3 linked regions of the Sus scrofa genome follow. The protein of the gene in region 1 purifies or fractionates together with the protein of each later gene. This does not show direct contact. Links are inferred from orthologs where the notes say so. Each region holds a gene or a part of one and is shown in the gene's direction. Other genes may lie near its edges.

Region 1 (5,316 bases):
TAAGGAGGGTTGAATGAAGGCTCTCCCCACATCCTCAGGTCAGCTGGCCACTTAAAAAGGGAGAAGGCACGCCTTTTCTGTTGGGTACTTGACAACAGTTCATAAAATGGATACAACAGATGGACACACTTTGAGAAGGGTGACAGAAGGTGCTGGAGTTGAATGTTTTTTACCTTCTCAGTGAAGGAGGAATCAGGGCCACCTGTCAAGGGAGAGAGGAGAAAGGAAAACAGGTTAGGTGGGGAAGAGAAAGGCCATGTGTAAGAGCAACAGTGCGGCTGCCCTTGAGTATCACGGAGAACTAAATAAAACGACTAGGTAGGTGCTGGACCAACGTGATTCCATGATTTTTAAGTTGCCATCTCATATTTACTCCTGGGAACTGACACTAGTAGCAACCACCACTGTTTATCATGTAGTTATCATGTGCTACTGGGTGTTTACCTAAATTATCTTCATTTTCCTAACAATAGATCGAAGTATTATTAGTTCTAATTATTACCAAACTATAAAAAGAGACACTGAGGCTCAAAAAGGTTTTACCTTAATAATAATAATAATAAAAAGACCAGGTACTATGTTGCCAATCACTGTTCTGGGCACAGAAAACAGAGGCCAGGGGGCTGCCTTAGCGCTTTATTGAAGGAGTGCAGACAGAAAAGTGAATGAAAATAACTGAAACAGATAACAAGTGGTGAGAAAATAGTAAAACGGCTATGATTGACCATAATAAATATGGTGTAGTAATGGAGGAGGGAATGTGGTCAGGGGGGGACCCTCTGTGGTACAAGTGAGCCGAAAATTTTAGGATGACACGATGGAAGAGTTTTCTAGTCCAAAGAAAGGCTAAGTACAGAGGTCCTGAGGCAAGCATCAACTTGGCTTCTAGGAGGAACGCTAAGCTAAGGTCGGGGCAGTCACAGCTTAGTGAGCAAGTAGGTACAGGCCAAGGTAGGAGGCGCCATGGCAAGTCAGGGGAAGGATTCACGCGAAGGGGGTAACTCCATCGGAAGCAATGGAATAACGAGCCGAAGAGGCAGGAGCCAGGCTGCCCCGAGGTCCGACGCAAGTTTCCCTTCCGTGATGCTGCCCCCGGGGTGAGGCAACCCGTCAGGAGAGTCCCAGGGGCCAAAGGGCCGAGGCCCGCGGGGGTGGGGGTGGAGGTGTAAGGCTTGTGACCTCCCGGTGTAGCGAGAATCGAGGCAGGATCGCGGGCCACGCCCGGCCAACAAGCAGCCCCCTTCTCCCACCTCAGAATCCCCCTCTTCTTATTCCAGTTAGCGACCCCCGCCCGCAGCACCACCCACTCCGCTCGGCCTGGCTGGATTTTTCCTCGGGGCGGCGAGTCTGCTTTCCAAAACTTGGAGAAGACAGTACCCTCAGGAATGACAGGGAGATGAAATAACTCAGGGCTGGGGCGAAGTCCTATGGGAAATAGGCCTTTTTATTTCTGCCTTGTTTTCCCTCACGGCTTTCCAGAAACGACTTGCTTCCCAGGATGCTCTCCAAATCACCCCCTCCAACAGCGAGACTATTGGTTTGGCCTCTAGTCCCAGATTGGCTGAAGGATTAGGCCTCGGCCAGGGATTGGAGGACGTTCGTTCCTTACGTATTCTCGGCGCTTATTGGTTCGTTTTCTCCGTTTCTGGGCGGAGTGGTGACGGGCGGTTTCCACCCTCTTGTTTACGGAGCGCGTAGTTGTAGCGCTCTCGGAGCTCTGGGGCTGGCTCCAAAGTTCCCTATTTAGCTCCTCGGCCCAATTGGATCTTTGCTCCGCCCTCTCCCGCTCCCTTGCACGCCTCCCGCGTGGTAGGGCCCACACCTTTAGAGCGGCGGCGCGAGCGGACGCTCGTCACGTTCCTCCGCCCGCGCTCGCCGGCCGCCTCCCCCCGCCACGAGCGTGCGCTTGGTACGGCCCCCGCCGCCTCCATCCCTCGCTGGGGTGGCTGCCCCCCCTCGGGTCGGCGGCGCTTGGTGCCGCCCGGGAGAACCAGGTCATCGGTCGGTTCCCGTGAAAACAAAAACAATCGGCGGCGCCGCGTCGGACAGCGAACGCGGCGAGCGGGGGCTCGGGGCCGGGTGGGAAGAACGAGCGGGAGCAGCGGCGACGCGCCGGGGTCGGGGCGCCATGGGGCAGGCGGGCGCGGGCTGCGCGGAGCTCCCTCGGCGCCGGGGCTAGCGCGTCCGCCTCTTCAGTCTCCCGTGCCGCCCGCTTGGGGGACGAGGAGCAGGACGCGGCCTCGGCCGGGCCCGGGCCGAACGGCTGCGGACACCCGGGCGCTGGGCAGCCGAGCGCCGCTGCCGCCACCGCCTCCGGGATGGATCAGTGCGTGACGGTGGAGCGCGAGCTGGAGAAGGTGCTGCACAAGTTCTCGGGCTACGGGCAGCTGTGCGAGCGCGGCCTGGAGGAGCTTATCGACTACACGGGCGGCCTCAAGCACGAGATCCTGCAGAGCCACGGTAGGGCGGCCCGGGTGGGCGCGCGGGGCCAGGCCTCGGCGGGCCAGGAAGGGTGGCCTCCGGGGGCCTCGGCTCCTCCTTCCCTGCGGCCCTTTTGGCTTTTTCCTGCTTCTCTCTCCGGTTTTGTCTCCAACTTACCCCGACCTCGTTGTTAATTAAGAGTGAGCCCGAACCCACCCGGAAAACCAATTCTGAAGCCTGGGGCTCCAGCCCAGGTTAAACGGGGGTGGGGCCGTCCGTCGCACCTGCAAACTGCCGCCCTCCCGGGCTGGGCTCCCCTGGTCAGTTGCCTTGGGCATAAGGCTCTGGGTAAACAGAGAGTCAGTGCAGGGAGCCCCCTCTTTCTTCTCTGCCCCAAACTCTTAGCGCAGAGACTTACTTTTCTCGTCTTTCCTTTTCTTTCTTTTTCTTTTTTTTTTTAAATTAGAAAGTTGAGTGTTATTCTTAGCTGTGGGTTAACAGAACAGCCGCTTCTGCAACTCCATAATTTAACTCTGTGTGGAAGCAGTTTTTCTTTAATTCGGCAGCGGCACTGACTTGATTGCTAGGAAACTAGCTGAACCAAACTGTTCAGCTCTCCTCCTGGAGCCAGTGATGAGACGGAGGAACTCTCCAGAAACACATTGTGGCACAAGTTGGTAGTTAACTTGCTTACCTGGTCAAGTTTTTAACTTGTTTTCCTTTCAGAAAACAGATTTTCTATAGTAGGTGTTTTTCCTATATGGTTACTGCCTAGACCCTGGGGGCAGATACTTTGCCAAAGTTTAATTTGTGGAAGCTGCTTGGGAAGGGTTTGTTTTTTTTTGTTTTTTAAATAACATTCAACGTCTGATGTTTGAATTTAAATATCCACAGTGGTGATTCCTTCTGAGCCAGAAGTAAAGGACTTTATGTGATGGATTTATTGAAGAGCTGTTCGGAGGCCTTTTCAACTTGGAGGCAGAACAGAATTTTTTTGAAAAGGAAGGTTTGGGGGGATGTGTAGACCTGGCAGGTGAGGTTGAGGAGAGTGGTCCTAGTTGAGCCTCTCTCCACCGCTCCTTCTTTCTTGCACACCTTCCTTTCCCAGACTGCTTTATCCTGAGAGTTAGTGCTTCTGAAGGGGAAGTAGACCTAGAGTGGGGTGGGACTCTGGGGAGGTGCTGGTGAACTTGGTTTTGGACAAGTGAGAAGCTGAAGGGCTAATGAAGATTGAGTCAAGAGCTCAGTGATATTTTCTGGTGGCTGAAGATACATAGGTGGAGTTTGGGAGGAGGTAAGGTCTAGGGTGGTTTCCTGGTGTCCTTTCTGCGGGAGAGGGAAGGAGAGCCCTTAGGCCACAGGGAGGAAAGACTTTAGGATCTAAGCATAGCCTTGAAGCGTGGAAGGCCAGGAGGAGCCTGCAGAAAGGACGGGTTTAGAGAAAGAGAGGTTGGTCAAGGTTTGTGGCTGCTGGGAGTCAGTGACCCTCTTTACTTGCAGTTTCATAGAATTGTTAAAATAAACTAGGTGACAGAGAGGTAAGAAGAATGTGCAGATCAAGGTGAAGGGGGCTGCTTCAGTAAAGGGACTGAAGGAGTGCCCCTCCCCCTCCACTGGGGAGGAAATCTTGGTCTTGTTAAAGACTGAAAGGGAAGGAGTGAGTGAAGGGTGTAGACTTGGAGAGGCAGAAGGAACATTTCAGTTTTACTGACCAGGTCAGAGATTGAGGGCTGGGTTAGGCAGAGCTTGAGAGAGAGAAGATGGAAAGTAAAATCCCTTTCTTCCCTGAGAGAGAGAGAGAGAGAGAGAGAGAGAGAGATAGAGGGCATGCTAATTGAAGGGGGATGTGGTTGTGAACCTTGTTGTAGGGGATTTGGGGTCCATCCCGGGTGGACAAAATAATTTGGAGAAATTGCTAAAGTGGGAATTTTAGACCTCCTCGCTTGTTATTGGGGAACTTTTCAAGGAATTTACAGCCAGTAGGATATTAGCCACAGAGTTTGCTGGGCTGTTTAAAAAGTCTGATGTGATGAATTGCTCATGTTTTCTTTTCAGCCTCCTGCTTTTTACTTTGTCTACCAAATTGCAGTCTTATATTGATATCTCTGATTTTCTCCAATTCTTTGCTAATAGGATGACATGACTAAAGGCAACTATAAAATATGAAAAAAATACTGCTTAAATGCCAAGTCTCATTTTCAAAATAAAACCTTCCTTATGGTGTTCTTATGTACGAAGTCAGTAAACATCAGGTTTTGGTATCTGGGTTATGATATTTTCAAAGCAGATAAAATCCTCTGCAGGCAGTGTGGGTATTACGCTGAATCTGAGATATACCCATCTGAAAGTTATATCTACTGAAATCTGAGTTTGGAACTCCATTTTCAAGTGTAATGGGAAATTTCCAAGGCTTTGAATGTACCTGTCTGGGCAAGTGATCTCGTGGGCTTCTATGACCTGAGGGAGGGGCGCCACCTGGGACCCTCTATTAGGGCTTTGGATCTCATTCTCTGCACTCATTTGTGGTGACATTCTTGTGAGAATGTGATATCAATAGAGTAGAATCTTGGGCACTTTACCAGTCCCCCAACGTTGCACCACACTGATGGTGCGTGACTGATCCAGAAGTGTCCTTTGGTGAGGGCCAAGGGATCGGGTCAGTTTTTGCGGTTGAATTACAATTTCTTATGTTTAAATTTCCGTTTTCTAAAGTTGTGAGTAGACAGCTATACCAGGTGAGACAGTCAGGATGGTTTGTGGTAGAAGTGGACCAGATATCCATCATGCTCAGTGAGGCCGTTGACAGCCCTAGTCCACGCTTACCATCCTTACTCCAGATTGTGAAAACTGCTCATGGGGGGCTTGTCTGGCATCTGGCCTGGAAGTAGTCCTGCA
Region 2 (5,515 bases), on another chromosome or scaffold:
ATGGACACTCACAGGCACTTCAACGCACGCGGCCCAGGCTGAACTCACGTTCTCCCTCGGTTGGTGCCACCACCACCGCCCTCACTGGCCACGCACCTGAGCGCCACCTTCCTCCCCTGTCACTCCACGGCCGTCAACCCACTCCAGACCGTCCCCTCCCCTGGCCGTCCCTGCTTCCAGCTGGGGTCCTCGTGGCGCATCCATTCCCTCCTCCACATTCCCAGCCAGCATCCACGGGCCTCCCGCCACGCGCCAGACGCTTCAGCTCTGCGGAGGCTCAGGTGTTTCAGGTAAGTCGTGACCCGCTCACAGGCACCTGCCACACAGGTCAGGAGCTAAACACACCAAGGGGACAGTGTGGGGACCAGGTGAGCATTAGGGGGGGGCGCTACAGCCTGCTTGCCAGGGTCCTTCTCCCCACTCCCAGGAGCGAGCCTGGGGAGTGCGGGACACAGGCCGAGAGCCCAGAGGGCGATGGGGAGAGAAAGGGCGAGACAGGGGAGCGAGGCTTTCAGCTCATTTGGTGCCAAAGGGGAGTCTCTGAGGGGTGTGAAGAGGACAGGGACGAAGGGAGATCGCCCTGCCTGCCGCGGGGGTGTCTCGAGGGAGCTGGCAGGGTCCCCGGGACGGAGGAGGAGAGGAAGGAGGGCGCCTCGGTGTTGTGGGGGCGAGGCTGGGAGCCACAGAAGGCAGCCCCTGTCTAGGTGGAATGAGGGGGGCGCAGGACCTGGGGAGAGCGGCCGCTAACCTATGACCCACAGAGAAGGCCCCCTGAACCCTTTTTAGGGGCTGGAACGTTCTGTCTCCTCAGGGCACCGGCATGTGCTCGTGCACCCTTGAAATAATTTTTAAAGTCTGCACCTCTCACTACTGAGCTGACAGCGAAGGTTGTTTACAGGATTGAGTCTCTGAAAAGAATGGAATCGCACGTCTGTCAGGCATTTACATCTGCACTTTAAACAGATTTGTGCCAAAGCTTTGAACCTGCAAATGTAGCTCATTCGACGAACGGAAATAATCTACAATTCGTCCTCCCTGTCAAACCTATTTGCCAAATAGCTCTCTGTGCAAGAAGCCCCACACCACCTCCACGTTTCTTAGGTGACTCTAGAGCAACCACACCAACCCTCCAGCCTCTGACTGCAGGAGGACGGCGGATTTCATCCGATGGAATAAAGGGCTGCCCCCTCAATTTCCTTCCTGAAAGAGTTCTAACATCTTTTCACTTTACTCTCCAGTAACGAGAAAACGAGGCCCTGCTCTGACCAAGTCTGCACTTTGCTCCAGCAGACGGACGAAAACAACCAAATGAAGGTGCCTTTCTGCACCTCCACGAGCACCAGGTCCGGCCACGGCGCAGGGGGACCCTCCGCTCTCCCGGCCCCCGTGGCACATGCTGCAGCCTTCGCCCAACCCCAGCGCGGCTAAGGGAGCCCGGGCGGGAAAGACCCCCGGGCCCCGGGCCGCAGGGCCCCCGGGCGGGAGGCTCCCTGAGGGCAGGCCCGTTCCGGGTGAGTCATCCGGCAGCGAGCGGCTGCACGCTCTCGGCCGCGGCCGCGTGGCCCCCGAGCCCGCCCCAACCGTCGGAGCGGAGACCTCCCGCCGGCCGCGCTCGGGCGGCGGCTCCTCCCCGGCCTGCGCGAAGGCAGGCGCCCGGCCAGGAGGAACCCTGCCTCGGGCCTGCGCGGAGCACCGGCGCCTGCCCCCCGCTCCCGCCCATGCCCGCGGGCTCACACCAAAGACGGAAGGACGCTGGAACCTTCGCCTCCGACTCAGTCTAGATGTCGCCGTCCCGACGCAAAGTTGCCCCACAACGACACCTCCGCGGCAGCCATCTTACCCAGAAGCGGCCGACGCCTTTTGACTCTCGCGCCAATCCGTAGAGCGAGGGCGCCGCGAGGGGAGTTCTGCGCAAGGGCGGAAGCTGGGGTTCCGCGCTTCCGGTGGGCCGCTTCGCCCCGCCCCCCCTTCGGGAGCACTTGATTGGCTGCCGGCTCTCGAGCTGGCGATCTCGCGGGAAGTGGCTGAGGGGGCGGCCGCCGGTGCGTCTGCCCTCCCGTTCCCCGCCCCCGCCTCCGCCGCGGCCCCCGCCTCCACCTCCCCCTCCCCGGCGTCGCCGCCCCCTCCCCGCCCAGCCCGGCCCCCCGCGCGGCCGCGAAGACCCCCCCCCCGAAGCGCGGCAGGCGGGATCCGAACGGTAAGATGGCCGCGGCGGGCCCGGGCGGTCGGGCCCAGCGTTCCCGCGGGAGCGCGGCGGGGCGGGGGCGGGGAGCGGAGGGCCCCGGGAGGGGAGGGGCCGGGCCGGGGTCGGGGCCGGGGAGGACGGGCGCGGGGCGGGAGAGGGGAGAGGGGCCGGAGAGGGGGTTGGGCCGGGGCGTCCCGCGCCAGGGCCTTCCGGGTCGAAGGTCCGAGCAGGACCGAATCGGGCCGCGTTCTCGCGGGAGGCGGCGCTCGCAGGGTTTGCGAGTCAACCTGCCTCCCTCCTCGCTAGCCGCGGCGGAGCCCGGGTCCGGGATTCAGTGTGTGTTCCCGACCCGAGCGCCTTTCGAGGGAAGGCTGCAGCCTTGAGGGGCGGTCGCCTGCTGGGGTGATGGTTGTCGACACGGCGCACTTGTGTCGCAAGGGAACTGTTTGGACACAGAGCCGCTTCAGAGCGGAGGTCCAAGTGCTGAGGTCGGACGCTGCCGCTTGGGGAGCTGGGGTCCCGCGCCCTCGGAGCTGGGGTGGTTCCCGGGTCCGTTCTCCAGCGCTGTTACATCAGCTCTCGCTCTGTTGTCTGGGAGTCAGGGTTGGATCTGAGGGAGTTACGCCGCTGGTCGTGAAGTTGGCCGTAGCCGCGAGGGCTAGGTGTGCGCTGGAAGGACCGCAGCTCCCGCTTAGGTCTTCCTACAAGCTAAGTTTGCTTTCGCCGCGCCTCCTCCTCTGCTGATCCGAGTTGGGCACGGCGTCCCCGCTACCGAGGACTTGGTCTGGCGCCCCTCTGCTCCCCACGCCCACTCTCTCCCTGGGCAGCCTTGGCGGAATCCGGGCTTTCAGTCTTGGTGTGGCGCATGTTTCCCTAATGAATGCTTCCGGCGCTGAGCTCGGGACCTGTGATCCAGGTGCCGCCTTGACTCCTGCGGCGTGTGTAATAGGCAGCCCAAACTGGCCTGGCTCCTCAAACCTGTTCCTCTCCCAGTCCTTCCTCCTCACTTGCGGCTCCACGCGCCAGGGTCTCCCGGTCTCCATGGTCCTCATCGCATTGGTTCTGTTGTCCTTCCACGTGAGGTCCAGCAGCAGACACCTGGCTCGGTGTCCTCAGGTGGGCTCTGCCCTCTGGCTCTTGCATAGCTGCTCTTCCTTGTCCGGGTGGCCCCTGGCTCATCCTCCGGCTCAGCCCTCACCACCCACAGTCCTCCCACGTCTGCCGGGAAACCAGAGCGTCCTTTAGGCTTCATGTCTGGACGCAATTTCAGATGTACTTTGCTGGATGTAAGGTAATATCCGCAACACCTTTGTCAGTAACAGGGGTAAAACTGAAGTGGACTCACCGTCTGTCTCGAGAGCCTGCCTGCTGCTCCCAGGGACCCTCTCCCAGGGGTGACCGCCTCCCGAGGGTCATGTTTCAGGCCCTCACAACAACAACAAAGCAGTTTTGTTTGTGTGTGTGTGTGTGTGTGTGTATGGCTGAACACTTTCTTTTTCTCTTTACATCCTGACCTGCGGCCTGTGGAAGCTCCTGGGCTAGGGGTCGAGTTGGAGCCACAGCCACAGGCCTCCATAACGCCGGGTCCAGGCCACCGCAGCCTTCGGCAATGCCAGATCCTTCACCCATCCAGCGAGGCCAGGGATCAAACCTGCGTCCTCACGGACACTGTCAGGCTCTTAACCTGCTGCGTCACAACGGGAACTCCCCAGATGGTCTCTGTACAGTCTGAGCAATTCTAAGTTCTGAAACCAGTCTGTGCCAGGGTTTCGGAGCTGGGCCTGTGGTCCGGGAAGCACAGGATGTTTGTCCGTGCTGCTGTTGGATGAACTCTGGGTGCACGGCCTCCACACTGTGCCATTTTGCACAGTCTGTGCACGGGCTGGTGTGTGTCAGCCCAGTGGTGAGTTTTGGAGGGACTCCGTCCAGCGGGAGGAGCTGCGCGCGTCTGCGTGCAGGCAGATCTGGGGGAGCCCAGGGTCGGGTGGGGAGAGCCCCGTGGCTCTGTTAACTCTCGCTGCCGTCGGACCTTTCCCTTTCTGCCTGGCCAGTGGCTGTGGGACGCAGGCTTCTCTCAGGCACACACAGCAGCCGGGACTTCAGCCTGTACCTCCCGCAGCCGCCCTCTGCTTAGGAGAGGGTCCCTCTAGAGCTCTCCCTCGGCCTGGAGGGCTCTAGTCTGACCCCAGCTGACCGCCAGACCTTGGTTCTAAGACCGTCAGCGCTTCCTCGCGTCCGTCTTACCTTCCAGACACCGACCGTGTTGAGGCTCAGGTCCTTTGCACTTGCTGTTTTCCACATCGCAAGTATCTGCCCCCTCTGCCTTTTACTTCTTGCTCTGTCGCTGTGTTTGTTTCCAAAATGTTCGCAGCTGACACACAATTCTTCGTCGGTTCCTCAAACATTCCTTTTTCCCCCGTAGAAGTAATTCGGAATGAGTTACGCGGAAAAACCCGACGAGATCACGAAGGACGAGTGGATGGAGAAGCTCAACAACTTGCACGTCCAGCGAGCAGACATGAACCGCCTCATCATGAACTACCTGGTCACAGGTAACGGGCTGCGCTGAGGCCGTGCCGCTCGGACAGGCTCCTCCCGGGCTGTGCCCAGCAGGCCTTACCACGGCCCTGCCCCGCGGTCAGGCCTCAGCCAAACGCAGTGCGGACACAGTGACCTTGCAGCGATCGTTTTAAAGGGATGCCCCTTCTCTGGAGCCGATGTCACGGTCCTAGGGCTCCGGGACCAGAGGCCAAGCCCTGCTGCTCGGCCTTGGACGTCTTTGTAACTGGCCGGAGTAGCGAGGGTCATTCTGAGTCAACGCGAAGGCCGGGCTGGCCCGTTTGGCCAGCCACTGCCCCTCAGTGCCCCTGACCCTGGAGAGGAGGAGGGTGGCTCTGGGCGCTGGGAGACCACCTACGGGTCTCCAGAGGGTGCGAGTCTCCTCCTGGGGGTTCCGGGTGCCCGCCCCCGGCCCGGGTCCATCTCTGTTAGGGCTCCTTTCTGACAAGCGTTAGGAAGCAGCGGCCTGAAGCTGTGTGCGCACGTGTGTCGGCGGGCGGAGCGCTGTGGGTGGCGTTGCTTTCATGTCCAAGGGGGTCACGGACTCACCAAAGGGGCAGTGGCTGCGTCCTGCCAGCCGCCAGGGCCCTGCTTCCCCGGCCGGCCGGACAGCTTCTCCCCGCCAGGCCTGGCCCCAGCCCCTGCAAGGAGCTGCACCAGCACCCTGGCCTCAGCACCCATCCTCGCCATCGGCGAGGTCGGGGTGTTTCGGGCGGGATGGACGGTGACAAAGTGCTCCTGCTTTGTTTCTGTGCATCAGGAGCCTAACGA
Region 3 (5,483 bases), on another chromosome or scaffold:
TCTCACCCACTGTGCCCCATGTGCCCCCCAGTGCCCAGGCCAGTTTGGGTGCTCTCATCCCGTGGAGGAAAAGGTGCCACTGCCGGGTTGGGCTGGAGTGTCCTTCTGCCCTCAGGTTGAGCACAGCCTAAACCTACCTCCTGACCCCGAGTGCCCTGCCCCCAGGCCTCTGCTGGATGCTGCCTCCTCTGGGGGCGCCCCCCCTCCAGCCTGTTCCACCCGGCGCCTTCTGGTTGGCCCCTTGCCCTAGTACAGCCAGTGTGTGGAAGGACGGCAGTGGGGTCTCGGCCTAGGTGCCCTGCAGATGTATAAATGGCTCTCTGGGCCTGGGCGCTGCGGGGTTAGGGCAGGGCCAGTCTGTACTGAGGACACGCGCTGCGCAGCGACCTGGGAGGACCACGCGGACACAGCCCCCAGAGGCAAGCCCTGTCCTGTGGCGCAGCAGTCCTGCACTGGAGCTGGCAGGAGGTGCGGCTGCTGGCTGTGTGGGGAGACCCGGGTGCGGGGTCACAGCGTGGCCCTTCCTGCCAGCAGTCATGCCTTGGCGGTCGGTCCCCAGGACAGGCTGCACGGGGTCTGTCTCCTGCGGGGGGGGTGTGTGTCTCCGGGGTGCTGCACTCCTAACCCACATCGTGTTGCTTGGTGTCCCTGTACTATGTGCGACTTGGATCATTTTGCCTGGTGTCCCCATCGTGTGCGTGGGGACCGCGGCGTTGATGGAGGACGCGCGGCCCGTCCTGTCCGCTCCTCAGCTGGTCTGCGGTTGTGGTGGGGGCCCCGTGTGGGTTTCTGGGCTCTGGTGGCGACGGGGCGGCGGGCCGGGGGCCTTCGCGGCCGCGCAGGAAGCGGCCTCCGCCGGATGAGGGGCCTGGGGCGCCGCCGTCGCCCCCGCGGAGCCGCCTTCCGGCGGGTGGGGCCGATCGGCGCCGAACAGCGCTGAACCCCTGGCGGCTGCGGCCGAGCGGAGCCGAGCGGAGCCGAGCAGACCCGAGTCCCCGGCGGGCTGGGCCGAGCGGAGCCGAGTCCCGGGCGGACGGGCCCGAGCGCGGCCGAGCGCGGCCGAGCGCCGGGCGTGGGCGGGGGGAGCGCGCGTTCCTGGAAGAGCCGGGTCGGGGGGCCGGCGCATTCCAGGCCGGCGCTCGGCTGAGGCGGACGCGCGGCCCCAGACGACGCGCGGGGCGGGGCGGCGGCGCGGCGCGGGGCGGGGCGCGGGGCGGGGCGGCGGCGTGAGCTCAGCGCCCGGCGCTCAGTCCGAGCTGGAGCGAGCCGCCGGGAGGATGTGCGCCGATCTCCGCGCCGCCGCCGCCGCCGCGGTCTGAGGCCGCCGCCACAGGCGCTCCGCCGCCCCGGAAGCCGCGCGCGCGCGCGCGCGGGCGGGCGGGCAGGCCGCGGAGCCGGGCGCGGGCGGCGGGGTGGGCGCGGGCCGGGCCGGGAGGCCGGCGGCGGGCGCGACGCGGCCGGCCAGCGCCGCCGGGACGAGCCGGGCGGGCGCCGCGCGGTGGGAGGAGCGGGGCGGCGGCGGCGGCGCGCCGCGCGAGGACGGCCCGGCGGGCCCCGCGCCCGCGCCCCCGCTCCTCCCGGGCCCCTCGGCCTCGGCCGCCGCGGCGATTCGCGCCTCGCGGCGCCGGCACCTGCCCGCGCGCCCCCCGCGAGCCCCGGGCCCGCGAGCGTTGGCGTTGGCGTTGGCGGCGCGCGCTGGGGCATGCCCCGCGCCTAGGGCCCGGGGGGCGCGCGGGGGGCGCGCGGGGGCCCGGGCGGCGGCGGGCGCGGCGCGGGGCGCGTGGATGTGGCGCCGGGCCCGGGCGGCGGCGGGCTGCAGCGGCGGGACCCCTTCGCCCCGCCCGCCTTCCCCTTCGCGCCCCCGGGCGAGGCCGAGGCCGCGGCCGTGATCGGCCGGGAGCCGGTGGCGGGGGGCGGCCGGGGCCGGGGCCGGGGGCGCCGCCGGGGCGCGCGGGGCGGCGGCGGCGGGGGCCGCGGGGGCCCGGGCGCGCGGGAGCGGGAGCGGCCTGGGGAGCCGGAGCGCACCATGGAGGCGGCGGCGGGCGGCCGGGGCGGCTTTCAGCCGCACCCGGGGCTGCAGAAGACGCTGGAGCAGTTCCACCTGAGCTCCATGAGCTCGCTGGGCGGCCCGGCCGCCTTCTCGGCGCGCTGGGCGCAGGAGGCCTACAAGAAGGAGAGCGCCAAGGAGGCGGGCGCGGCCGCGGTGCCGGCGCCGGTGCCCGCGGCCGCCGAGCCTCCGCCGGTGCTGCACCTGCCCGCCATCCAGCCGCCGCCGCCCGTGCTGCCCGGGCCCTTCTTCATGCCGTCCGACCGCTCCACGGAGCGCTGCGAGACCGTGCTGGAGGGCGAGACCATCTCGTGCTTCGTGGTGGGCGGCGAGAAGCGCCTGTGTCTGCCGCAGATCCTCAACTCGGTGCTGCGCGACTTCTCGCTGCAGCAGATCAACTCGGTGTGCGACGAGCTGCACATCTACTGCTCGCGCTGCACGGCCGACCAGCTGGAGATCCTCAAAGTCATGGGCATCCTGCCCTTCTCGGCGCCCTCGTGCGGGCTCATCACCAAGACGGACGCCGAGCGCCTGTGCAACGCGCTGCTCTACGGCGGCGCCTACCCGCCGCCCTGCAAGCAGGAGCTGGCCGCCAGCCTGGCGCTGGGCCTGGAGCGCAGCGAGCGCAGCGTGCGCGTGTACCACGAGTGCTTCGGCAAGTGCAAGGGACTGCTGGTCCCCGAGCTGTACAGCAGCCCGAGCGCCGCCTGCATCCAGTGCCTGGACTGCTCTCTCCTGTACCCACCGCATAAGTTCGTGGTGCACTCGCACAAGGCCCTGGAGAACCGGACCTGCCACTGGGGCTTCGACTCGGCCAACTGGCGGGCCTACATCCTGCTGAGCCAGGACTACACCGGCAAGGAGGAGCAGGCGCGCCTCGGCAGATGCCTGGACGACGTCAAGGAGAAGTTCGACTACGGCAACAAGTACAAGAGGCGGGCGCCCCGGGTGAGTGTCCTGCGAGCGGCGGCGGCGCGCCTGGGGGGGGGCGGCGGCGGTGGGGGGGGGGTGGTGGCTGTGGGCAGGGGCTGGGGCGCGCGGTGCGACCTGTGCTTCCTCCGCCTCCACACGTCTCGGTGTTTTGTTTTGTTTTGTTTTAAGGAGACTGGGGTGGGGGGGCAGGGGAGTGTCCTTGTCCCCCTAGAGGGCCAGGTAGCCCGGGAGGAAGAGCCTCCTGTCTGACTCCCAGCCTGAGCCAGGCTGGCCTGGTTGGGAGCCCTGGGGAGCCTGGGGCAGGCTTGGTGGGCGAAGCCTTGCTGAGGCCCACGGTCATTGCCCAGACAGCCGGGAGGGGCAGGCTGCAGACCTTGGACTCTCTGTCCCGAGTCCCCGGGAAAGTGGTTCTGGCTGGGCCCAAGCTGGAGCTCCAAGTCCAGTCCTTCCTCGGGCCCAAAGCAAGTGTCCAGCCCCCATGCGCGAGGGGGACTGCCCTGGCCCCCAAGCTCCCAGGCTCGCACACGGGGTGCCTGGCACTTCCCAGCAGGCAGAACTTGGCCAGGCGGGGCCTGTTTGTGCCTTGAAGTCTCGGGAGACAGACTCAAAGCCCAAGCCAGGTGTCCAGGCCCTGGTGGCAGGGGGCCGAGACTTGGCGACTCCAGCTCTCTGTGTCTGCCCTGGCCTGGCAGGCAGTGAATTGTGGAGTCCCCCGTGTGGGGGCGAGGGCTGCTTGGCACAGGGCTTGGGGACTGGTCAGCGGGCACCCAGGGCCCCGGGTGTCAGGGTAGCCGCCGGCCTGTGATTCGTTTTGGACATGTCCTTATCTCCTTGTTTCCTTCTCGCTGAAACGCCGAAGGGTGCAGCAGGGAGGCCGCTGGCCGAGGCGCTGTTGTTTGCCAGGCTGGGGGTCTGTGTGATCCGGCCTGGCTGCTCCCGGGCCACCAGGCGCCCCAGCCCTCCATCAGGGTCGACACCAACTTTTCATGGCGTCTTCCCCCCGCCCCAAGTATTTGCAACTTTTCTTTGAAATATGCAGGCTTATTAAATTGCACACACAGAATGCTGCACTGGCTCAGCTATTCTTGGGAGGCCTAATTAATTCAGCTATTGCATCAAACTTTTTTTTTTCCAAATCTGTGAATAGATGCTCCCCCCAGTTCTCTCTGGGCGCCTCTCCAGCGGAGTGTCAGAGTCTCAGGGAGCGGAGGAGGGGAGGGAATAAGGGCCTGCTGCCCGCGCTCAGAGGGGCCACCGCGTGTGCGTCCGTGTATCTGGTGGTGGTGCTGCCCTTGGCTAGGCCAGCGCCCAGGTGGCAGCTGTCTGCAGGCTGTGGAGTTGGCACGGGGTGGGGGAGCCGGTCTGGGTGGGCAGCTCGGTGGGGGAGGGTGCCCATGGGAACGGCTGCCGGCAGATCTCAGCAGGCTGGCCAGGCCCGTCGTGCAGGCTGCTGTTGGCTGTGGGTGGCGTGATGGGTGCTCCCCGGGGCCTGGGGTGCCCGCTCCCTCGACAGCCATCTTGCCGGCGCTGGTGGGTTCTGGCGGGCTGGTTAAGCCTGTGGTGGGCAAGGCTGTGGCGGGTTCCTCTGCTCCAGAGTGGACAGCAGAGGGTCCACGGGTGGTTGGGACTGCGGCAGGGTGTGTGCCCGTCTGGGTCCTGGTCTGGGTCCTGGGTGGTTGGGACTGTCTTGCTGGGGTCTGCTTTTTGTCATCGCTGAAGGCCCTTCCGGGCCCTGGTGTCCGCAGGCTCAGGGAAGGCCTGGCCCAAGCTGGTGGCCTGGAGGGGAGGCCGGAGCATGCTGGTGATTTCAACAGATGGTCAGCGCCCCGTCCTCCTCCGCTGCTCTCCGCAGTGCTGCTCGGAAACCTCGTTTCCTGCTTAGAAAAACGCCACGGGTGACGATGAAGACAGGGTCATCGGAAGGGGTTGGAGTCTCCGGGTCTCAGTGTCACCCCGCCCTTGGTGACCAGGGTCGCGGGCCTCCTCCAGGCCCCGGCTGCTGGCCGGCCGCTCCCTGGCTCCCCCCCCCCGCCCCCCGTCTTGGGACCCGCCGCCCTGGCCCTGTGGCTGAGCAGCCGGGAATTCTGGGGTGCCTGGTCCCTTTGGGGTGCGCCCGGCCGTGCCCTTGCCTGTCTACCCGCCAGCGACACCCGGGAGGAGGCGGGGGTCTCAGCCTCAGGGTTGTTCTGGAGGCAGCAGCCTAGACAGACCCTCCCTCCCAGTGCCTGCTCGGGCCCCGCTCCGCCCGCTCCTCGCGCCCGGGTCTTCATGGAGTCTGTTTTGACTTTTTTCCGCCTCTTTTCTGGCTTATTTAAATATGTTTGTCCCACTGAGAACGAGGCCCGAAGGGAACCAAGACTGTTCTGGGCCCTCTCTCAGCAGGGACACGGCTCGCCGGGCCTCGGGGTCCCGGTGTTGGGGGCCTCGGGGTGGCCCGGGTCTCCTGCCGGCCGGGACTCCTCTGCCATCAGCAGCGGCGTGAGCCCCGTGGCTCTGAGGCCCG

The links.
Region 2: the proteins of RMND5A (region 1) and GID8 purify together in Homo sapiens (affinity purification with mass spectrometry; 5 studies listed by BioGRID and IntAct, counting the BioPlex papers as one, with this or other methods). This does not show direct contact. The link is inferred for Sus scrofa from reciprocal best matches to the Homo sapiens genes RMND5A and GID8.
Region 3: the proteins of RMND5A (region 1) and SKI purify together in Homo sapiens (affinity purification with mass spectrometry; 3 studies listed by BioGRID and IntAct, counting the BioPlex papers as one, with this or other methods). This does not show direct contact. The link is inferred for Sus scrofa from reciprocal best matches to the Homo sapiens genes RMND5A and SKI.

What each region holds. Positions count from the first base shown.
Region 1 is NC_010445.4:58,093,224-58,098,539, reverse strand, and holds the start of RMND5A (protein RMD5 homolog A), read left to right. Parts: upstream 1-1,687; 5' UTR 1,688-2,318; coding exon 2,319-2,460; intron 2,461-5,316.
Region 2 is NC_010459.5:62,172,212-62,177,726, forward strand, and holds the start of GID8 (glucose-induced degradation protein 8 homolog), read left to right. Parts: upstream 1-2,010; 5' UTR 2,011-2,197; intron 2,198-2,358; exon of another isoform or gene 2,359-4,607; 5' UTR 4,608-4,619; coding exon 4,620-4,737; intron 4,738-5,515. UniProt on the Homo sapiens protein: Core component of the CTLH E3 ubiquitin-protein ligase complex that selectively accepts ubiquitin from UBE2H and mediates ubiquitination and subsequent proteasomal degradation of the transcription factor HBP1.
Region 3 is NC_010448.4:64,186,287-64,191,769, forward strand, and holds the start of SKI (ski oncogene), read left to right. Parts: upstream 1-1,978; 5' UTR 1,979-2,026; coding exon 2,027-2,995; intron 2,996-5,483. UniProt on the Homo sapiens protein: May play a role in terminal differentiation of skeletal muscle cells but not in the determination of cells to the myogenic lineage. Functions as a repressor of TGF-beta signaling.